Macaca fascicularis: one gene and its partners. The protein of the gene in region 1 interacts with the protein of each later gene in a pairwise test. Links are inferred from orthologs where the notes say so. Each region holds a gene or a part of one and is shown in the gene's direction. Other genes may lie near its edges. The genes, in order: RUNDC3A, MAGEB4, SDCBP, EIF3E, RAP2B, CCNL2 and AP1M1.

Region 1 (3,876 bases):
AGACTTGTGTAGTAGAGGACAAAGGGCAGTGGAGCAGGGGCTGCTCCAGGCCTAGGTCTTCACGATAGCTGCCAGGAGGCCACAGATGTAGCAGAAAGAGCAGAGTCTTCAGAATCAGAATCAGACATACCTGCTTGACTCCTCATAAGCCATGTAGCTCTGAACAGATCAGTCAACCTCTTGGACCATCAATTTCTTTATCTGTAAAATGGGGATGAGAGTGATAAGAGGGCCTATCTTTCAGGGCTGAGCATGGATAAGGTAGTGCAGACAAAGTACTGTGCTTGGCACATTATAGAGCTTGATAAATATAAGAAGAAAAGGACACTTCCAAGCAGCTCCCATTATCCCTGGACACCCCGCCCTTGCTCTGCCACCCACAACAGGGAAATCATGGGATGTTAGGAACTGTGTCCTCATCCCTGCCCCACTCCACTGCAGGGATGGCAGGGGGAGATTGCAGGGGTAGTGACTGCAGAGGGAGCCTGAGGCGTAGACAGGATTGGAGAGGGGGCACTGCATGGCTTCAGTCCCTCAGCTCCACAGGTCTCCCTTGGTCCCTTCCTCCTAAGAAGCTAGGCCCCCAAGCCCCTTCCAAGGATCTGCTGCCAATGCCCCCTCCTGCCCAGTGTCTGTGTCAGGCCCATACCCCGCACCTCCCCACCCCACCCCCGCCCAGCTCTGCACTGCCTGGTTCTGGGCAGCTGGTGTGTGGGAGGCCAAGCCGGGAAGGAAAGGGGGAAGGGGGTATCTGTGTGCTGGGAGCCCACCTGGCCACCTGCACATGCCCACACTCCATGTGCACAGTGCCAACTCACATGCCCTGGTACAGGTGACCCCATCCCCAAAAGGGACTGAAGGTTGTTCCAGCAATCACAGAAGACAGCTCAGGGTGGGGCACACACCGGCTTCTAACACCTAGTTGACCCAAGCCTCGCACACACAGACCCTGAAGGGTGGTCTGGGGGAACAGGCTCTGGGACCGCCCCCGGCTTGTGGCACCTCATCTTCCTATTTTTTCAGTCCCTCTCACCCCTTGTTCCCGAAGCTTCCTTTCTCTGGGTGTCACCTCTCCTGTCACCCACTTTGTCAATCAGTCTCCCACCTGTCACCCTCCCTCCCCACCTGCCACCCTCTCACTCCACATGACATGGTACCTCTATGGTCACTGTAGTCTTGCCTGTCTCCCCGCTCCCTCTGCCCCCCACCACATCCATGCCCTTCCTGACCTCTTCTCTGCCAGTTGCTCCCTGTCTCAGCCTGTTTCCTCACCTGACACCCCACTGCCCTGTCTCCCCACCTTGCCACCCAGGTTCTCTGTGAAAACGCTGCTGGAGAAGTACACAGCGGAGCCCATCGATGACTCATCAGAGGAGTTTGTCAATTTTGCAGCCATTTTAGAGCAGATCCTCAGCCACCGCTTCAAAGGTGGGCCCAGGGTCCCTCCTCCAGTGGTCCCTCCCCAACTCCCAGCCTTTAGCTCCCAGCCACCTCATTCTGATATACTCCATGGACTCTGAATCCCCTCATTGACCCTGGCTCCCATCCTGGACCATGCGCAGAAGCTTGTGTACAAATCTGGGAAGTGGGAGACGCCTTTGGCCTACAATCCCCATCAGTGGGCAAGCTATATGCTGGGGTGCCCACTGCATACATGCATGTGTATGCACAGATCTTTGTGGGAGGAGGCTGCTTATACTTATGCATGTGAGTGCTTCACTACATGGACCCTCTCTAAACTCCCTGGTCTTGCTGAGTCCGCTCCCTGCCCTGGCTCAGCCTGTGCCCCAGCAGGTCCAGTGAGCTGGTTCAGCTCAGACGGGCAGCGGGGCTTCTGGGACTATATCCGGCTGGCCTGCAGCAAAGTGCCCAACAACTGTGTGAGCAGCATCGAGAATATGGAGAACATCAGCACAGCCCGGGCCAAGGTGAGGGGCCTGGAGCAAGCAACTGCTCTCTGCTCTGGACACAGGGGGCCTGCCTGTTTCTTGGTCCTCACCCCCTGTCCACAGCCCAGGGGAGAAGGGCCCACACCTGATGCTGGACACATGAGTCTCTCTGGGGCAGCAAGTAAAAGTGAACGTGATTTCCAGGGCCGGGCATGGATCCGGGTGGCACTGATGGAGAAGCGCATGTCAGAATACATCACCACGGCTCTGCGCGACACCCGGACCACCAGGTCAGACTTCCCAGGCAACTCAGACCACAGGCCTCAGGGTGCACCTGCATTGCCCAAACACAGCTGATCCTTAAGTTCCTGCAGCATCCTTCAGTTCCTGGACTACAAGTCCCAGCACCAGCATGCACGGCTGATTTCCCTCTTCCAGCCTGGCCTGCAGTCCCAGGACAAACTCTTTTTTTTTTTTTTTTGAGGAGGAGTTTCACTCTTGTTGCCCAGGCTGGAGTGCAATGGTGCGATCCCAGCTCACTGCAACCTCTGCCTCCCGGGTTCAAGCCATTCTCCTGCCTCAGCCTCCTGAGTAGCTGGGATTACAGGCATACGCCACCACGCCCTGCTAATTTTGTATTTTTAGTTACTCCATGTTGGTCAGGCTGGTCTCCAACTCCCAACCTCAGGTGATCCTCCCACCTCGGCCTCCCGAAGTGCTGGGATTACAGGAATGAGCCACCGCACCCGGCCCCAGGACAAAGTTTTACCACTGCCACCATCACTTGCAAGTCAAATCTAATGCCCATTATTCGACATCATTGCCCAGCACACTCCGCCCTGGCACACCTCTGGATGAGCCTCAGCTATGCACCATCTCATGTGTTGGCTTGCTCCATGACCTACAACACAGCCCTTCTGGCTCTCCAAACTACAGCGGCAGTTCTGTACTTGCTATTCACGGACACAGAGTCCTTATGTGGGGAGTTCAACCCCTGCACTGTGGGTTCACAGGGAGGTTGGGTGCCTGAGTCAAGGGGTTACAAGGAGAAGTGTGCCTATGTGGGCAGGTGCATCTGAAACTGTCTGGGTGTGGCAGGGGGCGTGTACCTCCGCATCCCAATTGGCCACAGCCAGCCTGATGTTTTTGCTGAATTCCATTCCTCAGTCTACACATTTCCAGGTTCAAGTCAACACATTTTTTGCGCACCTACTGTATACCAAGCACTAATGATTAAGACTCGCTTCCTGATATGAAGGATCTGGGTAACCCAGTACTTGATGAGGAAGGGGTAGCTCAGAGGGAGGAGTCGGCTCAGGGAGCACTCATTCTAGGTGATGGGGCCACAGGTGCCAGCCCCAGGCTGAGGGGGGAGAGAGGCTCCAGGCCTGCGTGCATATCAGGAAGGAGAATTGGCCTTCCTTCAGGATGGGGTGGCAGTAAGCCAACAACAGCAGCTCTGGGGAGGGGCTCCAGGGACCTGCTGCACTGTCAGGCCCTCTGCCTCCCCACAGACGGTTCTACGACTCTGGAGCCATCATGCTGCGGGACGAAGCCACCATCCTCACCGGAATGCTGATCGGACTGAGCGCCATCGACTTCAGGTGGGGTCTGCCTGAGGGCAGTGGTGGAGGGGGCTGTTTCCCCGACAAATGTCCTACCCCAACCCCTCACACCCACCCCCAACCCTGTGGCTCCTCTGCCTCAGCTTCTGTCTAAAGGGGGAAGTCCTGGACGGGAAGACACCCGTGGTCATCGATTACACGCCCTACTTAAAGTTTACACAGAGGTGAGCGGCTCCATGACTGCGGCGGGGCGGGAGACGGGGGGGTCCTCAGGACATCCTGGGGACATCCTGGTCCCCCTGCCCTCGGCGGCCAGCGCAGACGCGCGTGGGGAGGGGCGGGACCGGCCGTGCCCACTACTCCCTCTCCCAAGCTACGACTACCTGACCGACGAGGAGGAGCGGCACAGCGCCGAGAGCAGC
Region 2 (4,353 bases), on another chromosome or scaffold:
TGATCTATTTATCTCTCACTCTCCCCAACCCTTGGAAACCACTGAACTTTGTACTGTTTCCATACTTTTGCCTTTTCCAGAATGTCATATAGATGGAATTATGCAATGTATAGACTTTTCAAATTGGCTTCTTTCACTCTGTGATATGTATCTAAGTTTCATCCATGTCTCTTTGTGGCGTGATAGTTCATTCCCTTTTAGTGCTGAATAATACTTTATTCTATTAATTTACCCACTCTCCTTCTGAAGGACATATTGGTTGCTTCCCAATTTGAGCAATTATGAATAAAGCTACTATAAACGTTTGTGTGCAGGGTTTTTTTTTTTTTTTTTTTTTTTTGTGGGCATACTGTTTTCAACTCATTTGGCTAAATAACAAGGAGCACACTTGCTGGATCATATGATAAGAGTATGCATAGCTTTGTAAGAAACTTACAAACTGTCTTCCAAAGTGGCTGTACCATTTTGCATGTCCACCAGCAATGACAGTGTGCTCCTGTTGCTCCACATCCTCATCCGTATTTGGGGTTATCAGTGTTTTTGATTTTGACCATTCTTATAGGTATGTAGTGGTATCACATTATTGTTTTAATTTGCAAGTCTCTAATGACCTGTGATGTTGACCATCATTTCATGTATGTATTGCCTTCCATATATATTATTTGTTGAGGTGCCTGCTTAGATCTTTTGCCCATTTTTCATAGGGTTGGTCAGTTCTTATTGTTCAGTTTTAAGAAATGTTTGTATGTTTTGGTTAACAGTCCCTTATAAGATATGTCTTTTGAAAATAATTTTTTCCCAACCTGGGAGTTATCTTATTCTCTTTGTGGTATCCTTAGCAGAGCAGAAGTTTTAATTTAGCAAAGTCCAGGTAATCAATTTTTTTTTCTTAGATGCCCATCACATTTTATATCAGAACTAGAAAAGGTGAAATTCTTGTTCCGAAGTCGCAGTTATCAGTCAGCAGAAGAGACAGTCCACAACCTTGCATGGAGTCCAGATGAGGATCTTGAGTGCAAATCTGGGACCTAAAGAGAGAGTACTAAATGCTTCTAGGCAGGGGTGGTGGGTTGAGGGGCCCCTGGACTTCGTTCATTTGGGTCCCAGAAAACTAAAGAGTCAATTTCACAACACCAATAGAGAGAGGCTCAGGCCCTGCCAAGAGCTGACATGATAATTTTAAAGGTAATCAGAGTGGATCCTCTCCAAGCTTGAACACAGAGATCCCAACTGCGAGGCTTGTTGTCACCCAGTCAGCCCCAGGCAGGGTTGGCAAGCTGCAGCCTAAGGCACATTGTAACTTCCTCAGCTGAGTTCTCAGGGGACAGAATGACTAAGAACAATAGCCCAGTGAATACTTAGAGCAGTGTTCTCAAGGAATCCTGCAGAGGCGGCTTCTGAAAAGCCAAGGTAGTATCTGCCTGCTGAAGGTGTTCTCAGGATTTCATTCACTCTTCTCCAGGAACCACATCACCTGCCCTTCTGCCTACACTCCTGCCTGCTGTGCCTAACCACAGCCATCATGCCTCGGGGTCAGAAGAGTAAGCTTCGTGCCCGTGAGAAACGCCAGCGGACCCGTGCTCAGACCCAGGATCTCAAGGTTGGTCAGGCTACTGCAGCAGAGAAAGAAGAGTCTCCTTCCTCTTCCTCATCTGTTTTGGGGGATACTCCCTCCAGCTCCCTTGCTTTGGGCATTCCCCAGAAGCCTCAGAGAGAGCCACGCACCACCCCTGCTGCTGCAGCTATGTCAGGCACTGGACCTGATGAAGGTGAAGAGAGCCAAGATGAGGAAAATGCAAGTTCCTCCCAGGCCTCAACATCCACTGAGAGATCACTCAAAGATCCTCTAACCAGGAAGACGAAGATGTTGGTGCAGTTCCTGCTGTACAAGTATAAAATGAAAGAGCCCACTACAAAGGCAGAAATGCTGAAGATCATCAGCAAAAAGTACAAGGAGCACTTCCCTGAGATCTTCAGGAAAGTCTCTCAGCGCACAGAGCTGGTCTTTGGCCTTGCCTTGAAGGAGGTCAACCCCACCACTCACTCCTACATCCTTGTCAGCATGCTAGGCCCCACCAATGATGGAAACCAGAGCAGTGCCTGGAGCCTTCCGAGAAACGGGCTTCTGATGCCTCTACTGAGTGTGATCTTCTTAAACGGCAACTGTGCCGGTGAAGAGGAAATCTGGGAATTCCTGAATATGTTGGGGATCTATGATGGAAAGAGGCACCTTATCTTTGGGGAACCCCGAAAGCTCATCACCCAAGATCTGGTGCAGGAAAAATATCTGGAATACCAACAGGTGCCCAACAGTGATCCCCCACGCTATCAATTCCTGTGGGGTCCAAGAGCTTATGCAGAAACCAGCAAGATGAAAGTCCTGGAGTTTTTGGCCAAGGTGAATGACACCACCCCCAATAACTTCCCACTCCTTTATGAAGAGGCTTTGAGAGATGAAGAAGAGAGAACCGGAGCCCGGCCCAGAGTTGCAGCCAGGCGTGGCACTACGGCCGTGACTAGTACGTATTCCAGGGCCACATCCAGCAGCTCTTCCCACCCCATGTGAGATCTAAGGCAAATTGTTCATTTTGTGGTTGAAAGACCTGTTGCTTTCTCTGTTCCTGTGATGCATGAATAACTTGTTGATTTATCTCTTTGTTGTATTTTCTAGTGATGTTTCTTAAAATAGAAAGTTTATTTAGATTCAGAATATAAGTTTAGAAATGGCATGCATCACACACTTATTGCTGTTTATCAGGTTGGTTTAGTAATAAGAATTTTGTTTTAGAAATACAAATAGAAAATCCTGAAATCATTTTTGTGATACAGAGCAAAATAACATGGCATGGGAGTAAGGTTATCCTTAGAAATTTATAATAACTTCACAGTAAAATAGGTAGAATCTGAAGATAGAAAGAGAAGAAAAGTAAAAGTTGCTTTATTCATGGTTTGTCTTACTCCGTTCAGTCTTTTTTTGTTCATAAATTTAAAAGTTACATACCTGGTTTGCTTAGATTATTCAAGAATGTGGAGGCCTGGGCCAAGGTCAATGACAGTGTCCCCATTGTCTTCCCTCCATTAAGAGAAGACTTGGAGAGATGAGGGAGAGAGAGCCAGAGATAGTGTTGCAACTGGGTCTGGCATGTTTCAGTGTGGTGTCCAGCAGTGTCTCCCACTCCTTGTGAAGTCTGAGGTATATTCTTTACTTTTGATTAACAAAACACTTAACCTTCTAATTAATGGAGGGCCAAAGGGGAGTTGGTGGGAACACTATATATAACATATTTGTATGTAAAATGATTTATCTTTTCTTTTTCCTGCTTTTCAGTGTCCTTTTTTTTAATTGTAGATTTATTTAGTTTCAGAATCTAAGTTTGTGAAAGGCATGAATCACTCATTTATTAAAATATAACAGGTTGAAGAGCGAGAATTTTTGCATTATGTAAAACAATTTAAAAATCTTTTAAGTCTTTTCCTGTGATCTAGAACAAGATAATATGGAATTGGAATATGAAATTTGTGAAAAGGAAATTACCTTGCAATAAAGTTGGTGGGACCATGAAGTAGAGAAAAAAAAAAGTAAAATGTGGTCAATTCTTGCTTTGTTTTGTTCTTTTTAGTTTTTCTTTGTAAAAGTGAAGTGTATGTACCCGGATTGGCTTAGCTTTTTCAGGAATGTGGGGGAAATTAAATAGCAATACATTTGACTTCCTGGTCACTTACACTTTAATCGTCCAAATATTAATTGAGCAGCTGTTCTTTGGAGGGCTCCTGGCTAGTACCGGATAAACTAAAAAACAAACAAACAAACAAACAACAAAAAACCCCCAATCCCTGCCCATAGAATTTTAGAATCCAACAGCAGCTATCATATAATGAAGGTGATGAGATACTCCCTAAGACCTAAAGACAGGTGAAAAGAGGGGATAAGAAAGAAGGTGGGGGTGTTTCCAGCAGTGGAATCTAGTGTAAATGTCCTAAGCAAGGTAATCGAGACTTTGGGAAACCGACCATACTGCAATAGGAGGTAATTTTATGTCCCGGCCTAGTGCCTAGATGGGGTGCACTGAGCAGGGGTCACACACTCAAATGGTGGATCTCAGACTTCAGAGATGGAGACTGGAATGAAAAATTGCCTTTAACAGTTACTTTGAGATTGCGGAAAAACCAGAGGGAATCTTTGCCTAGAAGCAGGGATTGAAAGTGGCCGGTGCTCTTGTCCCAGTGCAAGTGAAGTGAATCCAGTACACAAACTAGGTGTTTTATGCAAGTAGTCCCCAGAGTGTTTCTGAGAAATAAGGGTGATACTCCTTTAAGACTGGAAACTCATAAGCCACTGGGCTAATACTCTGC
Region 3 (3,876 bases), on another chromosome or scaffold:
TATTTGAATTTAATAGGTCATTTTTTGAGTTTTTTGAGTAAAAGTTTCTTTCTAATTAGGGCAGCCATTACTTTATAATTACCTCTCACCTTAATATACTGAATATATGAAACAGGGTTACTCTCTGAGGAACCATTTAGAATTGTTAAGGACGTGCTGAGTCTTTACCCCAATTTACAGTTTCAGCCATTACCTTATTGGATTCAGTTTCAGTCATACATCTGTAGCTTAGTGCATCCAGCCTTTCAACACAGAAAATGGTAAGTGTGGTGCACTGCTGTAAATGGAGGAGGCTGATCTTGGCAGGAAGCCCCAACCCTGCCTGCCCACCCAGGGGGCTGAGGCCATCGATGATGGCCTTGCTCACTTGTATCTTATTCAAAATACATCTGTGTGCTTGGTTGGGATGCTCTGACTTTGCTGCCCTTTCTCCAAAATCTTCAGGGAATAGAGGATACTGCTGCCCCTTCCGCCAGGATTCCTCTTGTGTTCTTTCCTCTGTCCTAAAGAGAAAAGATACTTTTCATAGGCCCCTTGGCCCCACTGTAGGAAATACTTGCAGTGGATTTGTTCACTTGGCCAAAGGGCATTTTTTTCTTATATGGGGTGCTACCTAGTTCTTGCTTATCACTCTACAATGTAACAGATGCGTGATAGAAATATGTGACCTAGCTTAGGATTGAGGTAGATGCACTTACATTTTATTTACCAGGCTTATTCTTCTTTTATACTTATCTATTTATATTTTGTTCAACTTCTGATTGAGATTTTACGTAAGTAAAAATATCCATGTAAGTAGTTATTTGTTAACAGTACTTGAGTTTTCTGTATTTATTTGTGTGTTCTTTATAAGCCTGTACATGTGGATTTAATATGCCCATCTTTTTAGTCTGACAAACTTTAATCTTACTTGATTATACACAATTTAGCCAATGGGTAAAGGAATGTTTCAGCTCAAAAGGTAGAATTATGACCTTAAACTGTCATTTATTAAGCTGTAAAAGAACTCACCAAACTTTTTAATATGTGACTTGCTTTTCCCCTAAATATGATTATGGACTGATAATCTGGTATTCTATCAGACTCATTAGACACTTGCATTTATTAAAGTTGTCCCACTCTATTTTCCTTAGTTTTGTATTCCAAGTTGAAAGGGGGGATTGTGGTTGGTCAGGTGGGTTATGATTTGGTATAAAAATTGCCATTGAAATCTCACTTTTTTGCCGTATTCTTTGGAGTTACTGTCTTGATAAATTTTTCAGTTTCTTTTGAGGTGATAACTGGATAGACTCCTATAGTTTTTCCTTTTTTTTTTTTTTTTAATCACTAAGGTAGAGTTTTTAACAAACAGTTGTTTCCTAATTTTCCAGCATTTTAAACCGTATCATAGTAGTGGTAAATGACGAAAATTATTTTCTTATTATCTAGGGTATATTTGTTCAGCTAGTCCAGGCTAATTCTCCAGCCTCATTGGTTGGTCTGAGATTTGGGGACCAAGTACTCCAGATCAATGGTGAAAACTGTGCAGGGTGGAGCTCAGATAAAGCGCACAAGGTGCTCAAACAGGCTTTTGGAGAGAAGATTACCATGACCATTCGTGACAGGTAAGCTGTTACTAAACAGCTCAAATGAAAATTCAATACTAGTTTTCCATTTTTTTGGGCTTTCAGAGTCTGTGAATGTATTATTTTGTTGCAGAAAATGATAAAATGTTATTGATGAGCCTTACAGTCTTGCAGCTGTGTGGTGCAGACTGTTTGTTTGTTTGTTTTTAAAGCATGTTTTTAAAGCATTCTGATATGATACCTTATTTCAGAATTTATAGGACAAATCTCTCTAGAAAATAGAAAATGTATGTTGGAGAAGTAACTGAGTAGCAGGGTATCTCTGAGCTCACTTTCCGACTTACTGCTTAGATACATCTGGCCTAGTTTTATCAGGACTCTCAAATTGTAGACATACTATCACAGTGGTGCCTCATTGTGAGGGTCACAGCCCATGCAGACTTCCAAGTAGTGTGGGAGTTCTGAAAACCGTATCAAGACTTTTGGGTAGTTATGAAGCAGTAGTTTCCAAGAACATGGAATATTCTGTTTAGCAGCTCATTCACTTAGACCTTAAACATTTAGCACATGAAACAGGGGCCTCCATTTATTTTCTTGTCTACTCCTTACCCAATTAAGGGTAGACCTATATCACATTGCTATAGTAAGCTTTTGAGTTTTTGTTCCTTCTCAGTGAAACTTCTGTTTTATCTTTGTGTTTCCAGTTGCTCATTCAGTTTAGGTATTTAGTAAATGTTTCAGATGAATGTCCTTTTTACTGTAAGCAGAGTTTCAAAGAGTAAGTTGTACTAACAGGAAGAAATGCCTCTTCTGAATTTAATATTGTAAACACAAGTTTATCATAAAACCCTTATGATAACATGATAACAGAGTTTATAGAGAATCAAGCAAACGTAACTGGTGTAACAACTTTAGAGGGACAGCTGGATGCCTTTTAATAATAGCTGCATGCCTTCCTTTCCAAAGGGGCTTGAGGAACTTAACGTCTTACTGCTGCTCTAGTTTTTCTTTTCAAATATAGCAGTGTATAAAATTTTCAAAGTCAAGTTGTGAGAAATATTTTAGAGGTTTTAAACAAAAGAAATAGTTCCTAAATATGATTTGGCTGTAGAAAATACCAAAAGTTAATAAAAAATAAAAATTATTTTTACCACTGTGATTTAGTTAAAAAGCTTATCTTATTCTTAATGCTGTAAAGTCTGATTAATTATAAAGGAAAAACATTGATAAAACCATATAAAGCAGTTGTCTTTGATACTTAAAGAAGGAAATGTTGATTAGTAAATCAGTCAAACCATAATGAATAAACTTAAAAAAAACTTTTACACAAAGATGTTCTGTGAATGTATAAAATCAGAGCTGTAAGTTGCTCTTATTAGAAACAGTGTTTATTATAAAAGTGTCCAATATGGCAACATTTATGGTATATGAAATCCATTAAAATGTTTACCTTAGAATTAAGTTTTTAATATAACCCATTATGTTTGTAGGCCCTTTGAACGGACGATTACCATGCATAAGGATAGCACTGGACATGTTGGTTTTATCTTTAAAAATGGAAAAATAACATCCATAGTGAAAGATAGCTCTGCAGCCAGAAATGGTCTTCTCACAGAACATAACATCTGTGAAATCAATGGACAGAATGTCATTGGATTGAAGGTAAGGAACAGACTTTGTGCCATGTTCTGCTGCAGTTTTTGAAAATGTCTGTCTTTTGACTGTATTTAGGTGGTGCTGTTTTCAGTGACTTAGGTGGGAGATGGGGAACGTGGGGCCTGGGTTCTTGCTCTAGCCAGTCACGGGAATTATTTGGGCTGTTATCTAGAACTACAGTTCCTATAACAAGGGGGGTGGAATCAATGATTTCAGAAGTACCTCACACTAGAATTCTGTGGAAATATGGGCAACAAAGATTTTTATGACATTCTAAATGAATAGTTGCCCAACATTTCTCAATCCAGGAATACAAGGAAATGAATAATAGTTTTGGTTCATATTAATACTTTATTTTTATAGTTTTTCTCCTCCACAAATTCCTAAATAAGTCTGTCTTAAGGTCAAAAAGTTTTAAGCATGACCTCCTCATTTCGTAGACTTTGATTTAGAATACACAGTTAACTAAGAGGAGATGGTAGTATTGTATATGGGGAAAATTATTTAATATTCAGAAAGGAAAAGGGTTTTTTTTTTTTGACTAAAATATTCAACTCAGTTTACTTAAGCAAACTGGTTACTAGCTGTAAAATAGTGTACAATTAAACTTGGTAAGAAATACTAGAAAAAAATGCCGGGCGCAGTGGCTCACGCC
Region 4 (3,876 bases), on another chromosome or scaffold:
CCCGGCCTATTTCTTAGTTTCTTAATGAAACATTAAGGTGTTACCAGAGTTGGTTATGTGCAAGTTTTCTCCACCTTTTCATCGTATAGTAAAAGGAACAATAGAATTTGGTTTGAGAGGTTATAGAGCTGGATTTATAGTTAAAAGAGATTATTTAATGGATTTAAATTCCATTCAACCTAGTGGATAGCCTGTAATAGTAATATGTAAGCCCCTCTGAGTTTTTGTTAAAAAACTCCTGGATAATATTCACCTAAGAAAATTAAATGGGAACAAATATAAAAACCCTTGGAATGAAGTTTCTGCAATGGAGAATTAAATGATAGATAATTGGGTCCTACCCTTTTTTTCTTTCACCTCTGTCACCCCAAGGCTGTATATTCTCCAGTTTCCCTTAAGAGTAGAAAGAGGATTCCCTTTTCCTTTTTGTGGTTTTGTATTACTAGAAAAAAGAAATTAGGGATTGGGGGACACTTCTGAGTGAGTAGCCCCTGGCATATGAATATATTGGGGATGAGTAAATGTATGTATGGTTTAAATACTCTGAACAATTTCCAGACATTCTCATGATGAGTAGCACACTTTAACATGCCCATTGTAGTACTCTTTTGCATTTTTAATTAGCTTTGAGAGAGAAAAGAACCACAGTGGTTGCACAACTGAAACAGCTTCAGGCAGAAACAGAACCAATTGTGAAGATGTTTGAAGATCCAGAAACTACGAGGCAAATGCAGTCAACCAGGTAAACTCTTCTTAATTTTGAATTCGAAAAATTCTCGTTTCTGGATTAATACAAATGTTAATTCAAATTTTATCCAGTATCCCACAGTAAAAGTTCATAGGTTTAAATGAGTGCTTTATTCATTTTTAAATGTTCATTTATCCTTATTTTGTAGGGGCCAGTATAATTAATAAATATTAATATTAATACTGTTTTTTTTTTTTAAAAAAACTTCTTTAGTACTTATCTGTACTGATTATGCTACAGAATTTCCATCTCCTATTTCCCTCTTCCTGGGGACATTTGGCAATGTCTGGAGATACTTTCGGCTGTCATAACTGGGGGGTGCTATTGGCACCTAGTGAGTAGAGACCAGTTATGCTGTTAAGCATCCTACAGTGCACAGGACAGCACCCCTCCCGCTACTCCCCAACAAAGAATTACCTAACTCAAAATGTCCATTAAGAAACGCTGTGCCACTGTGTGGTGGCTCACGCCTGTAATCTCAGCACTTGGGGAGGCAGAGGCAAGCGAATCGCTTGAGCCTAGGAGTTCGAGACCAGCCTGGGCAACATGGCGAAACCCTCTATCTACCAAAAAAATAAAAGCAACAAAAAATTAGCCAGACGTGATGGCGTACGCTTGTAGTCTCAGCTACTTGCTACTTGGGAGGCTGAGGTCAGAGGATGGCTTGAGCCCAGGAGGTGGAGGTTGCAATGAGTCAGTGTCATATCACTGCATTCCAAAGTAGGTGATGTAGTGAGATACCATCTCAGGAAAAAATAAAAAAGAAACCCTGTGCCTGTGCAATACCTAGCGCTTTAGAGCACAACTCGTTATAAGAGAAACCTGAGTTCACTTTATTCCTGGCTACATTCTTTCCTACCCTTCTAAGCTCCATGCCTCGCCCAAGGAGGGTAGTTTTGAGCTGATAAGATTATTTTATTCCTAACTTCCCTTTACCTGGAAGTAGATTTACTGTTTCGTAAGCATGTTGCCTTACTCTGACTTAGTACATGTCACGGGTAGAAGTCCTTTGGGTTATTAGAAACATTTAAAAATAAAATCTCTTACTAAAATTGAATATTATCATTTGAGATAAATCCTAGCTACCATTGAATTCACTTGAGGAATTGCTGGATATTTTGCCATGTTATACCTTTAATTTCTATGTGTTTAAACCAAATTTTTAGAGATTGGCTCTTAAGTTTTCCTTTGTGATTTGTGAAGATGTTACCAGATATTTTTAGAAAAGCAACAAATACACAATTACTGTGCCATACTATAGCATACTATACTATACTATGACATATACTACATATAAATACAGTCAACTCTCTGTTCTGCATCTGTGGATTCAACTAACTGCAGATTGAAAATATTCAGGAGAAGAACCTAAAAAATAACAATACTGCAATAAAAAATACAAATAAAACTACAGTATAACAACAACTATATGATATTTACGTTGCGTTAGGTATAAGTAATCTAGAAATGATTTAAAGTATATGGGAGGATGTGTATAGTTTACATGCAGGTACTGTGCTATTTTACATAAGGGACTTAAGCACCTGCAGATTTTGGTATTTGAGGGGGCTGGTGAGTAGAGGGTAGGCGAGGTCTTGGAACTAATGCTCTGGGGATACCAAGGGATGACTATATGCAGGAAAACACGCACACAGAGAGATATATATATACACACACATTACATGCATAGGCAGAACTATCTATTATACTAAACTACTTGTATGCTTTTAGAATAAGTAGTTTTAGATCTTCAGGTCACATGTAGGTGATTACAAAGGGACACCTGAAATAATCCAGTTGTTAGACTACAACAGAAAATTTAGGATGTTGTAGTTCAGTCACTCAAAGACTGGGGAGTTATGGGATCAAAGTATGAATAAGATGAATGTAGATATGTTCACCAGTTAGAAAAAGAGGATCCTTATAGCTTAATAGGTACTGAATTTGAGATAAATGAAAGGATCATGTGTTAAAAACTTGTAATCTTATTATACTTACAAACTACCTATTTTCAATGTGAAAACCTTTTTCTTGCAATTCCCCCTTTTTAAATTTCATTGAACATATAGTATCATACTTAACACTTTCCCGGAAATAATCAGCCAGAGGACAGTGATTATATACGTGAGTGGTGTAAGTAGTGCAATACAAAGTTATTCACTGTGATCCACTGCAAGTGTTCAGTTTTGGTGGAAGTTCTGTGTTGGAATTTCATGTACATTTCATACTCAGTATTATAATACACCTATATTTTTATGGGGACATATCTCACCCCATTAAATCTTCAAGCAAAATTGTGCTCTCTAAGATACATTGTAGCGTATTTCTTCTGTGAGAAGGATAAGAAAATGTTTTCATTTTGGAACATGCAGTCAGGTGCAGTGGCTCACACCTGTAATCCCAGCACTTTGGGAGGCCAAGGTGGGCAGATCCCTTGAGGTCAGGAGTTTGAGACCAGCCTGGCCAGCATGGTGAAACTTCATCTCGGTGGCTCACGCCTGTAATCCCAGCGCTTTGGGAGGCCGAGGCGGGCGGATCACAAGGTCAGGAGATCGAGACCACGGTGAAACCCCGTCTCTACTAAAAATACAAAAAATTAGCCGGGCGCGGTTGTGGGCGCCTGTAGTCCCAGCTACTCGGGAGGCTGAGGCAGGAGAATGGCGTGAACCCGGGAGGCGGAGCTTGCAGTGAGCTGAGATCGCGCCACTGCACTCCAGCCTGGGCAACAGAGCGAGACTCCATCTCAAAAAAAAAAAAAAAAAAAAAATACAAAAATTAGCTGGGCATGGTGGTGCATGCTTGTAATCTCAGCTACTTGGGAGGCTGAGGCAGGAGGATTGCATGAACCCGGGAGGCAGAGGTGGCAGTGAGCCGAGATCGTGCCAGTGAACTCCACCCTGGGCGACAGAGTGAGACTCCGTCTCAAAAAACAGTAACAACGAAAATGCTCATAAGGTGGGCAGCTACCCTTATATCCCCTGTCCCTTGATGTCTTTATTATCAGTTTGTCTTTTACCAGTCTGTCAGCATCTCAAGATAACACAAAGCTAATTTAAGAAAAATTAAATATGGCACTTGGTTATACCTAATGATTATGTAGGGTATGTAGCATAGCTGTCATGTACATG
Region 5 (4,524 bases), on another chromosome or scaffold:
TGAAGAAGCTTCGGCCAGGGGTTTGGAGGTTAACTAGCAAACGCAGTGTGAGTCACGGCGGCATTAGGAACTGAAACCAAGTGTTAGCCATGCCCAGGTTTACCCTCCAATGCTGACGGTGAAACCAGGGAGCAGTGACATCAGGACTGGGAGCCAGCGCTGACGCAGCTCCACCGCCTCCCTCCCCACCCCGCACCCGTGGCGCGCGCCGCCGCGCTCAGCCTGCAGACAGGTCTTGACATCCCTCCTCAGAGAGGAGCAAGGGAGTCGGAACAAGTCGGGGCATCTCCCTCGCACCTCCCGGGAGCGCCAGCCCAGCTAAGTCTAGCGATTGTCCGCCAGCCAGCGAAGACGCTTCCTCTGAGGCAAGCTTGGACACTCCCCTACCCCTCCGGGTGAAACGAATTCCAAGTGGCCCATTTCGGCTCCTCGCCCCCCTCCCACTCCCTGCAAAAAAACTTGGCAACTCTGAGGTTTCTTGCGGACCAAAACCTGTAATTAGCCCTTTGTGCTCCCTTTGAGGGGCAGTCGTGACTGGAAACCGAGGAGTCAGACTCTCTCGAAAACACCAACAAAGAACTATATTTAGTTCTGAGCTCTCAGCCTAAATGCCTCTTATTTTTTCACTTTTACTTCAAAACGCCTGGGTTGGGGAAGTGGGAGGCAGGGGGTGGGGAAGCAGCGGAGAAAGAACAGCTGTGCCTCCGCCTCTCCTCTCAATCTCTATAAATAACCAATCGCGAGCGGAGGCTACTTTTTAGCCAATGAAGCGCACCAAACTGATAAAGCCTTGTCGGCAGCCAATCAACAACACTTAGGGGTGTGAGACTCGCGTCCCGAGACCAATGAGTGCGGAGTCTGGGAGAGGTAATTTGAGCTAGAGTGTGGGTGTGTGGTGCAAAAGCTTCCTACTTCCAAGCCCAAAAACCTGCTCTGCGACTGAGCATGCCCTGAACTAACTGCGGGCGCCCGGAGACTTCTGGATTGGGATGTAATCTAGTCTCCGGGTTTTGACCGCACCCGAGCGGGGAGGTGGGTACGACCCGCTGGACCCTGCCCCGAGAGAGCTGCAGGTACCAGAGGCTACCCCTTTCCTAGTCGGGACAGTATCTCAGGCTTGGAGTACCTCCTGTTTTCTTTGTGCAAGGCTGCAGTGCACAGAGTAGCGTTTCTGTGGCGAACGGTGTAGAAAAATCTATGGGGCCGGGATGCTCCGCCGGCTGCTCGTGCATTCCACGGCACCCACATGACTTCGGGTTTCCGGCCCCAGACACACGCCCGCCCGGGGCTGGGTGAATGGCGTCCTTGGGCCTTTGATAACGGGAGTTGGCAAGACCACAGCCTACTCTATCCTGAGGCGGCCCGCCGCACCCACATGCTTCTCGCAGAGCCGCCGCCCTTGTCCACCACTCCCACAGCTGTAAAAGAAAGCGGCCTGCATACTCCCTACACCGCTTTCCTCGCTCCAGTGTACGCACACACACCCCATCTACCAGCCAGTTCCTAACTCGCGCCACTCCCCAAACTGGACTCAAATCCGGAGCCCCGCCTACATCCCCGCCCCCTCCCGGCCCCGCGGAAAACCAGGAGCGGCCGCTTGGGTAAGGCGCGGCCGGAACGCACTGGGCATGCTCGCCGGGGAGGGGAGGGCCGGGCTGCGCGCGGCGAGTAGGAAGCCCTCGCCCAGTAGAGGCTGCGGGAGAGAGCGCGATGGGCCGCGGCGGTGGGCGCACGTTCCGCGGGGACTCATGCCACGCGCGTCCCGTCCCGACGCGCAATTAGCAGCCACCTCCGCAGCCCGCCGCCACCGCCTCCCCGCCCTCCCGGGCTGCCGCAGCTAGGAGCTCCAGCCATCGCCTCGCGCAGGCTGCGGGCATTGTCCTCCCGGTTCGCCGCCCGGGCTGCTGCTGCTGCCGCCGCGGACTGCTGCGGGGCCCCGACCCGCGCCCCAGGGACACGCCGCCGCCGCGGGCCGGCCCGGCGCCCGGCCCCCGCTCGGTGGTTTCCGCCCTGCGTTCTCTGGGCTACTCTCTCCTGGGTTTTTCCTGAGGAGCTGAGGAAGGGGAAGAGAAGTCCAGCCGCCAAGCCCAGCCTTCCCCGGCGCGCAGCCCCGACGGGGCCGCGGCAGGCGCGGCGAGAGCGCTGACGGAGCCATGAGAGAGTACAAAGTGGTGGTGCTGGGCTCGGGCGGCGTGGGCAAGTCCGCGCTCACCGTGCAGTTCGTGACGGGCTCCTTCATCGAGAAGTACGACCCGACCATCGAAGACTTCTACCGCAAGGAGATTGAGGTGGACTCGTCGCCGTCGGTGCTGGAGATCCTGGATACTGCGGGCACCGAGCAGTTCGCGTCCATGCGGGACCTGTATATCAAGAACGGTCAGGGCTTCATCCTGGTCTACAGCCTCGTCAACCAGCAGAGCTTCCAGGACATCAAGCCCATGCGGGACCAGATCATCCGCGTGAAGCGGTACGAGCGCGTGCCCATGATCCTGGTGGGCAACAAGGTGGACCTGGAGGGCGAGCGCGAGGTCTCGTACGGCGAGGGCAAGGCCCTGGCTGAGGAGTGGAGCTGCCCCTTCATGGAGACGTCGGCCAAAAACAAAGCCTCGGTAGACGAGCTGTTTGCCGAGATCGTGCGGCAGATGAACTACGCGGCGCAGCCCAACGGCGATGAGGGCTGCTGCTCGGCCTGCGTGATCCTCTGAGGCGGCCGCCGCGCGCCGGCCGCGCTCTGCGCACAAAAGCCAAACGCATCCGACTCTCTAAATGTGATTTCTTTCTTGCTTTGAGATTGGAGACCACTTTGCATTGGCCAGGGTGTCTTGGGAGCCCGGCTGGCCTCCGCGGCCGGCGTCCCCTGCCTCCACCCTGTACCCGAGGGGGTGTCCCGTCCTGCCCATCTGATACTCTGGTGGAAATGTGGTTCTTTGCAGCATGTACGTTTCTCCCTGATTTTGGTTGATGCATATTTCCCCGTTTAAGTAGCCGTTAGGGCGCAGTATCGGCAGCTTGACACCCACCAAGCAAAAGTTTCAGCCTGGAAAAAAAATGGGAGGGGGGAGGGGTGGAGGAAAAGGAGGGGGAGAAGGTGGAAATGGTTTTTCTTTTTTTTTTTGGTCAACAACCGTTTTTCTAGTTCCAAGTTTTAAATACATGGAAGGAAGTCCGGGAGAACCATATGAAGGAGCAGGAGGAGAAGAAGAAACTTTTGTTTTTTTCCTTGTTTTCCAGGAGTAGCTGGAAGTTAAGATTGGGTTCCTTTTCTGCCAGCTTGGAAGGGCAACCCCATGACTGATTGCGATTCTGAGGATGTCTATGCAAAGTTGGATTCTTGTTACAGTGTATCCAATCTGAAGTATTGCACATCTGAACTGGGACTGTTAACACTGATGCCAATACAGTGTGGGGTGCCAGAAAGTGTCTGCTGATATTTGTGGAAAAAAAAAATCTATTTTGTTTACCTACTGTATCAAAGGGGAGTCTGGGGGAGAACGGTAGTTTTTTTTTTTTTTTTTAATCAGCTGTGAAAAAAATGTTACAGATCTGCACATTTTCGTGTGTACTATGGTGTGTGTGTGTGTGTGTGTGGTGTGTGTGTGTTTTAAGTTTAGCCTTTTGTTTTTGTTTTTTGGTTGGCAGTAACCGATTTTAATGACTAGCTTTTTAAAATACAGTACAAAGACTTTGTAAATGTGATTCAGGGCCCCCAGCACCCCTGTGTCTGCAGAGTGCCTTCAAAACTCAGCTGTTCCAGCCGGTGCCAACCTGTGAACTTCCCACCATATCCCAGAATCTGCTATTCCCCAAACCACTTCCCAGTTTCCTTTCAATAATCTTTCAGAAGGAGCCAGGACAATAGGGCCTGTTGTTTAGTGAATTTCTTTATTATTTTCAGCCTTTAAAATGTAATTTCCATCTCTTGCAATGAATTTGTTTCCTTTTTTTTTTTTTTTTTTGCTTCATTTTGCTTAAGTTTTCAGGTATTTAGCTCCCCTTTTATATTATTTTTAAATTTTTAAATTACCTGTTGTAGGGTGTTCCTCCAGAAGCAAAGAGCAAAATTTTACTGTTGCGATGTACCAATTCTAACTAATTGTAATTTTTAATTTCATGCGTTTAATCATTGTCTCTTCATTTTAAGACTTTTAATACAAATGTCATTTTTAAAGAAACCCAAAACTATTGTTTGTGTTTCTGTGTTTCATATTCAGTGATTTAATACAGTATCATGGCTGAGGTGGATGGGGTAGGTGCATGATACTCTCCCGAGCTATTTGTGAAATTTTAAAGACAGAAGTGTCTCAGTGACAAGATGGATGACACTACTCCCAACTTTTTAAATTTGGAGAAAACCATCAAGGTCGAGGAAGCCCTGGGTATGGCCATTACCATCTGATTAGAAGATGAACAGGTATTTTGAATCTGATCTGATGTGGAACAGTTTACCTCATTGTAGGTAGGGAACAAGAGAACCCATCTATTAAAATTGCCTTAGATCTGGGAAAGTAACCATCCATCTGGCAA
Region 6 (4,502 bases), on another chromosome or scaffold:
GCTGTGGCAAAGCTGCCTTTTCTGCATTTCATGTCAGTGAAGGAAGACGTGCATGCGCAGAGCCCTGTGGGTTGCTCCCAGCACTCATTCAGTTTGTGCCATAGTCCTGTTCCCAGGCAGCCCCGGGGTCTGCCCCTGATTGGCTGGAGGCACCACCAACCTCCCACTCCTTGGGCAGTCACAGCTCAGGGAATGGGCAAGCAGCACCAATGAAAAACCAGCTGTGTAGAAGAGGAAATTCCTTCTTTACTGGAGAGCTTGCAGTTGTAACAGACAAGACATCCCTCCCTGAGCTGCCAGCCTGGGGAAAGAGGACAGGAGTAAAGCTGTAACCACACCGTGTTGCCCATAGCAGGCGGAGGAGAGTGGGTCTTAGTTGGCACTGTTTGAGCTGCAGTATCAATCATGGCAGAGCTAGTGGACAGCTGGACCTGGGGGTAGCGGTGAGGAGCAATGGTGGCCTCTGGATTTGAGCCCGTTTGAGCTAGGCAGTCACTGGCAGCTCAGTGTGTGAACCTGCAACCACTCAGGCCTCTGCTGCCCTTCCCTCTTCTCACTGCTTCACCCTTCCCTTGCCCCACGCAGGCTTCCCCACTATCCTCACCCGTGGTTCTGCACTAGTCCTGGCAAAGGTTCCGGTAACTGTAGCAACAGATACCTACTGCCCCTCCTGCACAGCTGTGGTCGATCAGCGATGTTAAGACGTTACAAACCCAAGAACCCCTCCCTCACTGTCTCCCTGGCGTTTGTGGGGTAGCTCCTTCACACGTACAGCACCGGACCTCCCTCCCCCGACTCCTTCCGGGGGCCTGAACCTTGAGGTACTTAGGCCTCCCAATGCTGGAGGGGCTCTGTAGAGGCGTCGAGGCCACGTTTCCAGTCCCCCCTCCACCCGTGTCTCCCCAGCGGCTGAGTTTTGAAGGCAAGACTTTGCGGGAGTCTGGCGTTAATACGCATCCCAAAAACCTGGAGTCAACAAGGACTGAAGACACGACGCCGACGGCGGCCGGGTGACTCCGGGCACGCGCGTCTCATCCAGGGCGAGGCCAAGCGGAGCCTCTGACCCTGCCCGCGCCCAGGGAACAGCAGTGGGGGGTCGTCCCGCCCCAGATCCGACCGAGATGGACACCCTTGACCCACAGGCGTTTTGAGACGCGAGCTTCCGCGATCCGAGGTCTCTGTGCGAACGTGGGCATCTTGGAAGAGTCCCAGCCCCGCTCGGGGCGCACAGACAAGCGCTCTCAGCACCGCACCCGCGACCCGCGCCTCCGCTCGGAACAGACACGCTTCCGGGGTCGGCCGGCACCGCAGAGCCTGCTGGGTAACGAGTCCGCCCCACCCGCGCCAGGTTCCGGCGTCGGCGTTTGGCGCGTTGCTGACGGGCAGGTTGCGTAGCCAATTGCCGCTAGGCGGCGTCCCGCTGGTCGCGGGCCGAACCAATGACACGCGACGAGGCGGGGCGGTGGTGGCCGTGGAGCGTCGCGAGGAGCCGCCCTGCGGGAAGAAGCCGAAGGGGAGTCGGCGGCACAAAATGGCGGCGGCGGCGGCGGCTGGGGCTGCAGGGTCGGCCGCTCCCGCGGCAGCAGCGGCCGGCGCCCCGGGCTCTGGGGGCGCGCCCTCGGGGTCGCAGGGGGTGCTGATCGGGGACAGGCTGTACTCCGGGGTGCTCATCACCTTGGAGAACTGCCTCCTGCCTGACGACAAGCTCCGTTTCACGCCGTCCATGTCGAGTGGCCTCGACACCGACACAGAGACCGACCTCCGCGTGGTGGGCTGCGAGCTCATCCAGGCGGCCGGCATCCTGCTCCGCCTGCCGCAGGTGAGGGCGCGGCCGCGAGCCTCGGGCCCAGGTAACCGCTGGGGCGGCAGCCGCCCTTTGTTGGCGGCGAGTCGGGCCCGCGCCGCCCCAGCCCAGACCCCGAGCCCAGCCCCTGCCCCGACCGCAGCCCCTGCCGCGACTCCAGTCCCTAGCCAGCCCGTGCCCCTGACCCAGGGCCTCCCCGCCCGCCAGCGCGCTGGATCCCGCGACGGCGGGACGCGAAGAGCCTTTGTGGACGTGGGAAGCGTTTCAGTGTTTGGTTTTGCGTGGGGAGTCCCCACGTTACTCGATGACTTTTGGCTGCGAAGGCTTTGAATGGTGCGTTTGAAAATACAGAAACTTTCTTCTACTCTAGGTGGCCATGGCTACCGGGCAGGTGTTGTTCCAGCGGTTCTTTTATACCAAGTCCTTCGTGAAGCACTCCATGGAGGTAAGGTTTCCTCTTGCACTTCATTCCTAGCGAAATATGTTACGGGGAAAACGGTTTGTTATTTTGCCCGGGTACTCAGGGGAGCGAGTACCTGCCCCCCAGTCTGAGCTCTGTGCCGGAGGGTTCTGTTTCTTGGTTTCTTTTTTCCCTGGGTGCACCTCCCTTTTGGTCTGAATAGCCTTCAAGCCTTTGGCGGCCGTGAGGACGCCGTGGCTGGGGACAAACATGGGCGTGTTGCAATGCTTTCGCTTCAGCATGTGTCAATGGCCTGTGTCCACCTGGCTTCCAAGATAGAAGAGGCTCCGAGACGCATACGGGACGTCATCAATGTGTTTCACCGCCTTCGACAGCTGAGAGAGAAAAAGTGAGTCGGTCGGAGTTGTTTAGTCTATCATAGGTGTCTGTTTCCTTTTTTTCTGGTGAAGCTGCAGTGACACTTGTATAACAGTACAGGCCTGAGGTTCTAAACATGTGGGATGTTCGTGAGCGCATTCTCAAGTTCCACGAACAGGGCCTGCTCAGAGGCATTGGCAGATGCTGTTCAGTGAGGGCAGGGCCTCCAGTGAGGATAGTGCACTGTGGCGGTTCATGCCGGCGCTAGTGCACAGCCCTGTTGCTGTTTCTTTCCTACAGGTTTCCGAACGCTCTACAGCAGGGAGTCTTAATCTCAGCACTATTGACATTCAGGCTGGATAATCTTTTTTTTCCCCCTGAGATGGTTTCCTGTTGTCCAGGGCAGAGTGTGGTGGCATGATCATGGTTCACTGCAGCCTCAATCTCGTAAGCTCAAGAGTTTCTCCTGCCTCAGCCTCCTGAGTAGCTGGGACTACAGGAGCACGACACCATGCCAGCTAATTTTTATTGTTTATTTGGTAGAGATGTGGTCACGCTGTGTTCCCCAGGCTGGTCTCAAATTCCTGGGCCCCAAGGATTTGCTGGGCTTTGCCTCCCAAAGCGCTGGGATTACAGGTGTCAGCCACCGCATCTGGCTGGGTAATCTTTAGTTGTAGGGGATTCTCCTATGTGTTGCAGGATTCAGCAACATCCCTGGCCTCTACTCACTAGATGACAGAAGTACCCCACCTTAGTTGTGACAGCCAGAAATTCTCTCATACCAGGTGTGGTGGCTCACACCTGTAATCCCAGCACTTGGGATACTGAAGGAGGAGGTTTGCTTGAGGCCAGGAGATTGAGACTACAGTTATCTGTGATGTCACTACTGCACTCCAGCCTGGATGGCAGAGTGAGATCCTGTTTACAAAAAACCCAAAAGTATCTTGATGTTGCTTCACGGCCCTGGAATAGCAAAATTTCTCCAGCAGAGAACCGTTGTCTCTGACCCAGGGTTTATGCACCTGAAGTTAATGGAAGTCCTTTAGAAAACACAGCCTCGGCCGGGTGTGGTGGCTCACGTCTGTATTCCCAGCACTTTGGGAGGCCGAGGCGGGCGGATCAAAAGGTCAGCAGATGGAGACCATCTTGGCTAACATGGTGAAACCCTGTCTCTACTAAAAATACAAAAAAATTAGCCGGGCGTGGCGGCGGGCGCCTGTAGTCCCAGCTACTCGGGAGGCTGAGGCAGGAGAATGGCGTGAACCCGGGAAGCGGAGCTTGCAGTGAGCTGAGGTCCTGTCCCTGCACTCCAGCCTGAGAGACAGAGCGAGACTCCGTCTCAAAAAATAAATAAATAAAATAAAAGTAAAACACAGCCTCTGGCCAGGCGCGTGTGGTGATTCCTGCCTATAATCCCAGCACCTTGGGAGGCCTAGGCAGGTGGATCACCTGAGGTCAGGAGTTCGAGACCATCCTAACCAACATGGTGAAACCCCGTCCCTGTTAAAAACACAAATTGACCAGGCATGATGGCTCACACCTGTAATCCCAGCACTTTGGGAGGCCGAGGCGGGTGGATCACGAGATCAGGAGATCGAGACCATCCTGGCTAACACGGTGAAACCCTGTCTCTACTAAAAATACAAAAAAGCCGGGCGAGGTGGCGGGTGCCTGTGGTCCCAGCTACTCGGGAGGCTGAGGCAGGAGAATGACGTGAACCCGGGAGGCGGAGCTTGCAGCGATCCGAGATGGTGCCACTGCACTCCAGCTTGGGTGACAGAGCAAGACTGCGTCTCAAAAAAAAACAAAACTAGCTGGGTGTGGTTGTGGGTACCTATAATCCCAGCTACTCGGGAGGGTGAGGCAGGAGAATCGTTGGAACCCGGAAGGTAGAGGTTGCAATGAGCTGAGATTGTGCCA
Region 7 (3,876 bases), on another chromosome or scaffold:
CTCTTCAGCGCTCCCTTCCGCTTCCGGGAGGCTGCGCTCGGGGGTTTCCTCCTGTTTCTCGCACCGCCTGCTCTCCTCCCTTTCTGCCCTCCTCAGGGCTGTGGAGTGGCTCAGGCCTACGTGTGCCTCCCCATGCTGTCACTCTTCCCAGGTGGGCTTTGACTCATGTCCATGGGCCGGTGACTCTCGACTTTGTCCACAGCACTTCTCTGGAGATCCACTGGCCTCTGGGACACTAGGGAGGTCCCGCCATCACCACAAATTCAGCATTTCTCTGAATGCATTCCCTGTACCTGCTCTCTCTCCATCTCAGTGATGCCATCACCCATTCAGCCACCTGCACTGGAGACCTGGACATTATCCTCGCTTCCTTTTTCTCCTCACCCCCATATTCACTCCACAAATGTTTACTGAGCACCTACTATGGGCCAGGCCCCGTTCTGGGTGCTGGAACACAGCTGTGAATGAGACAGGAGTCATCGCTGTTCTCAGGGGATGTCAGACAATAGACGAGGATACAGATAAATGTATAACGCAGCAGGTGATAGGGATAAAGCAGGGGTCAGGGTGCAGAGGGATGGGACATGATCTCAGCCAGAGCAAGCAGGAAGGACTTCTTTTTTTTTTTTTTTTTTTTTTTTGAGACAGAGTTATGTTCTATCATGCAGGCTGGAGTGCAATGGCACAACCTCGGCTCACTGCACCCTCTGCCTCCTGGGTTCAAGTGATTCTCCTGCCTTAGCCTCCTAAGTAGCTGGGGTTACAGTCATGCACCGCCATGCCTGGCTAATTTTGTATTTTTAATAGAGATGGAGTTTCACCATATTGGTCAGGCTGGTCTCAAACTCCTGACCTCATGATCCGCCCGCCTCGGCCTCCCAAAGTGCTGGGATTACAGGCGTGAGCCACTGCGCCCAGCTGGGAGGACCCTTAGAGGAGGTATCATTTGAGCTGAGCCTTGGGAAGTGAGAAGAGCCAGATCAGGGCAAAGGCCCAAGGTGGGAACAGATGTGGATCACTCAGAGACCAGCTAAGGGGCCCGGCTGGAGGGGAATGGACCAGGGCAGCGCAGGCAGAGAGGCGTCAGAGACTGTGAGGAGCCAGACCACGCCGGTCCTTGGGAGCCACGGGGACGGACTTGGGCTTTGTTCTCAGTGCCGGGGAGGCTGGGGTAGGTGGCAGTTCAACAGTGGGAGAGAGACCCCATCTGGCCTCTGTGTGGGAAGAGCCCTGCCACCCTTTGTGAGGAAGGACCTGGGGGGGTCAAGAGTGACAGCAGGGGAAGGGGCTGGTCCCTCAACACGTCATCACCTGCCTCCCTCCAATCAGTCCCACAGGCCACGAATGAGACACTAGGAAAGGAAGGTGCCACCCTCCACCACCCCCAGTCTCTCCTTAAGAGAATAAAGTCAGCGTGTAATGAAATGCCAAGTTCTGAGGCAGTTGGTTCCCAGGATGGTCAGCACCGCAATGGCCTTCTCAGCGCGTTGCCGAGTCCTGCAGCTGGCTGTCCTGCAGGCCCCAAGAGCTGCAGCTGCTCCAAGCAGCATCTCCAACCGCAGCCGTGCCCAGGCTAGCAAAACTTCCGACCTCCTTTTTTTCTTTAATGAGATGTAATTTGCACTAATAGCCTGCACTTATCTAAAGTGTGCAATTTGATGAGCTCAGTCATGTGGGAAGCCATAACCACACATTCCATCGCCCCCGAAAGCTTCCTCACGCCCTTTTGCTGTCCAGCCCCATCCCTACGCAGCCACCGATGTGTTTTTCATCACCATTTTCTGGGCTTTTATACACGTGCGGTCATACAGGATGAGCGCTCGTCTGTCTGGTTTCTCTCAGCCAGCACAGTGATTCTGATGCGCCCGCGTATCGGGAGTCCGAGCCCTTTCGTTGCCGAGGCGTGCTTCTCATGGTGTGCACGGACAGTTTGTTTCTAGTTCACCTGCTGAAGGACATTGGCATTGTTTCTAGTCTGGGTCTGTTTCAGTTAAAGCTGCTGTTAACATTCTTGTGCTAGTCTTTGTGCAGACATGTGGTTTCATTTCTCTTGGGTAAATACCAGAGAGAGGAATGACTGGATCGGATAGTAACACTGGGTTTCACTTTTTGAGAAACTACCAGACTGCACCAAAGTAGCTGTCCCATTTTCCTTTCCTCTCAGCAGTGGACAGGGTTTCTGGGTGCTGTATATCCCGACCCACAGGCTATGAAAGAGAGAGACCAGCAAGAGGGCTTCTCCTCTTCAGGCCACCGGTGGACTTCAGTCAATACGAATCTTCAGCGGGAGTGGGCGCCCTGACACAGGCGGGAGAGCAGGGTGCGTTGGCCCGGCAAAGGCTCTGAGAAGGTCTGCGTTGAGAGCTTGTGAGGCATTACTTAACCTGATGTCTCTGAATGATTCGGTCCTGGACCTTTGCCGCAGAGTTCCCCTCTACCCTCACCCTGCAAAGAACTGCAGTGGCCCCTGTGGACGTTCACACTGGGAGATGCTCTTCTCCAGGAATTCCCTGGGGGATGGAGATCAGCACGGCCTCGAGTCCTGCTCTTTTGCGGATAGGGGCCATGACCGGAGTCCCCAGAGGGAAGCAGGCTGGTGCATCTCACCCCCTGCCCCAAGCCCCTGGATTGTAGAATTGAAAATGCAAGCATCATTCCTCTTCCTTCCCCACCCCAGGTGCTCATCTGCCGGAACTACCGTGGCGACGTGGACATGTCGGAGGTGGAGCACTTCATGCCCATCCTGATGGAGAAGGAGGAGGAGGGGATGCTGTCGCCCATCCTGGCCCACGGAGGGGTCCGTTTCATGTGGATCAAACACAACAACCTGTATCGTATCCCTTTACTGGGGCGGCTCCCAGGAGACTCCTGTGTGGGTGTTGGTGTGTGTGCACGTCCACACGCCTTCAGCCGGGACTGGTTTGTGCACAGCGGGAGCATTGGATACAGCCAAGCCCTCCCGGAGCTCCCTGCTGCCTGCAGAGACAGGCAGAGAATGCACGATGACACGCGTGATGGGTGCGGGGAGAGGAGCAGGTGTGACTTGAACTTCTTTGGCCCAGGGGCCCAGGAAGGGAAGTGACACCCTGGAGGAAGCCTGCAGGGAGGCCTGGCGTCTGCCAGCTGGAGGGGCAGGCAGGCACTAGGCGTGGGTGAAGGCTCTGCAAGGGAAAGGCTCATTCCAGCAGCTGCAATCGGGGTGGCTGGAGCCCTCGAGAGGGGGCGTGTGGCAGCAGTGAGGCCGGAGTGGTCAGCGGGGTCTGGGGTCTCAAAGAACATCATCTGAAATGTGACAGAAAGTCTTTGGAGGCTTTTAGATGTGCATCTTCTGGAGGTTTCTGGCTGCTGAGTGGGGCAAGACTGTGGGGACAGGAGAGGACATGGGTAGGTGAGGAGTAGGCTGGGGCCATCGTGCAGGTGGGAGGGGAAGTGGCCTGGACCACGGAGGGGTGGTAGGGTACAGAGAAGGGGAGAGACTTCTCACAGCCCCACCCAGATCTCAGAGTCCCCCACCCTTCCTGTCCTTGGGCCCATGGGGAGACTTGGCCAAGCCAGTTTCTATCCAGGAGGTCTAACTGGCCACCCCACGGCTTTGGGCAGACCTGCAGGCCCATCTCAGTACCCACACTACTGCGGAAGGGCCTGCTTTGCAGCCACAGCCTGGTTTGAGCCCCAGCTCCAGCAGCCATGGGGCTGGAGGCGAATCCCTCACCTTCCCACAGTTTGGTGGGAACAACGACCCCTCGCTGCAGGACCATTCGGGTCAGTTGAGCTGACTTGTGCACATTGCTCCCAGCAGACATGGGCTCTCTGCCCTTTCCTGTGTTCTTGGAGACACTTGGGGCCTTGCCAGTAGTACAGTGTGGCCAATGGGCC

The links.
Region 2: the proteins of RUNDC3A (region 1) and MAGEB4 interact in binary tests that used the Homo sapiens proteins (3 or more experiments, as listed by UniProt). The two-hybrid records come from large-scale screens. The link is inferred for Macaca fascicularis from reciprocal best matches to the Homo sapiens genes RUNDC3A and MAGEB4.
Region 3: the proteins of RUNDC3A (region 1) and SDCBP interact in binary tests that used the Homo sapiens proteins (3 or more experiments, as listed by UniProt). The two-hybrid records come from large-scale screens. The link is inferred for Macaca fascicularis from reciprocal best matches to the Homo sapiens genes RUNDC3A and SDCBP.
Region 4: the proteins of RUNDC3A (region 1) and EIF3E interact in binary tests that used the Homo sapiens proteins (3 or more experiments, as listed by UniProt). The two-hybrid records come from large-scale screens. The link is inferred for Macaca fascicularis from reciprocal best matches to the Homo sapiens genes RUNDC3A and EIF3E.
Region 5: the proteins of RUNDC3A (region 1) and RAP2B interact in binary tests that used the Homo sapiens proteins (3 or more experiments, as listed by UniProt). The two-hybrid records come from large-scale screens. The link is inferred for Macaca fascicularis from reciprocal best matches to the Homo sapiens genes RUNDC3A and RAP2B.
Region 6: the proteins of RUNDC3A (region 1) and CCNL2 interact in binary tests that used the Homo sapiens proteins (3 or more experiments, as listed by UniProt). The two-hybrid records come from large-scale screens. The link is inferred for Macaca fascicularis from reciprocal best matches to the Homo sapiens genes RUNDC3A and CCNL2.
Region 7: the proteins of RUNDC3A (region 1) and AP1M1 interact in binary tests that used the Homo sapiens proteins (3 or more experiments, as listed by UniProt). The two-hybrid records come from large-scale screens. The link is inferred for Macaca fascicularis from reciprocal best matches to the Homo sapiens genes RUNDC3A and AP1M1.

Annotation. Positions count from the first base shown.
Region 1 is NC_088390.1:65,368,632-65,372,507, forward strand, and holds part of RUNDC3A (RUN domain-containing protein 3A), read left to right. Parts: intron 1-1,312; coding exon 1,313-1,428; intron 1,429-1,779; coding exon 1,780-1,928; intron 1,929-2,093; coding exon 2,094-2,179; intron 2,180-3,403; coding exon 3,404-3,493; intron 3,494-3,597; coding exon 3,598-3,678; intron 3,679-3,827; coding exon 3,828-3,876. UniProt on the Homo sapiens protein: May act as an effector of RAP2A in neuronal cells.
Region 2 is NC_088395.1:30,249,533-30,253,885, forward strand, and holds MAGEB4 (melanoma-associated antigen B4), read left to right. Parts: upstream 1-1,292; 5' UTR 1,293-1,522; coding exon 1,523-2,566; 3' UTR 2,567-3,601; downstream 3,602-4,353.
Region 3 is NC_088382.1:68,556,520-68,560,395, forward strand, and holds part of SDCBP (syntenin-1), read left to right. Parts: intron 1-1,428; coding exon 1,429-1,604; intron 1,605-3,055; coding exon 3,056-3,227; intron 3,228-3,876. UniProt on the Homo sapiens protein: Multifunctional adapter protein involved in diverse array of functions including trafficking of transmembrane proteins, neuro and immunomodulation, exosome biogenesis, and tumorigenesis.
Region 4 is NC_088382.1:117,762,763-117,766,638, reverse strand, and holds part of EIF3E (eukaryotic translation initiation factor 3 subunit E), read left to right. Parts: intron 1-624; coding exon 625-742; intron 743-3,876. UniProt on the Homo sapiens protein: Component of the eukaryotic translation initiation factor 3 (eIF-3) complex, which is required for several steps in the initiation of protein synthesis.
Region 5 is NC_088376.1:56,125,410-56,129,933, forward strand, and holds RAP2B (ras-related protein Rap-2b), read left to right. Parts: upstream 1-1,685; 5' UTR 1,686-2,153; coding exon 2,154-2,705; 3' UTR 2,706-4,179; downstream 4,180-4,524. UniProt on the Homo sapiens protein: Small GTP-binding protein which cycles between a GDP-bound inactive and a GTP-bound active form. Involved in EGFR and CHRM3 signaling pathways through stimulation of PLCE1.
Region 6 is NC_088375.1:233,376,202-233,380,703, forward strand, and holds the start of CCNL2 (cyclin-L2), read left to right. Parts: upstream 1-1,509; 5' UTR 1,510-1,531; coding exon 1,532-1,819; intron 1,820-2,174; coding exon 2,175-2,249; intron 2,250-2,503; coding exon 2,504-2,613; intron 2,614-4,502. UniProt on the Homo sapiens protein: Involved in pre-mRNA splicing. May induce cell death, possibly by acting on the transcription and RNA processing of apoptosis-related factors.
Region 7 is NC_088393.1:16,523,237-16,527,112, forward strand, and holds part of AP1M1 (AP-1 complex subunit mu-1), read left to right. Parts: intron 1-2,677; coding exon 2,678-2,834; intron 2,835-3,876. UniProt on the Homo sapiens protein: Subunit of clathrin-associated adaptor protein complex 1 that plays a role in protein sorting in the trans-Golgi network (TGN) and endosomes.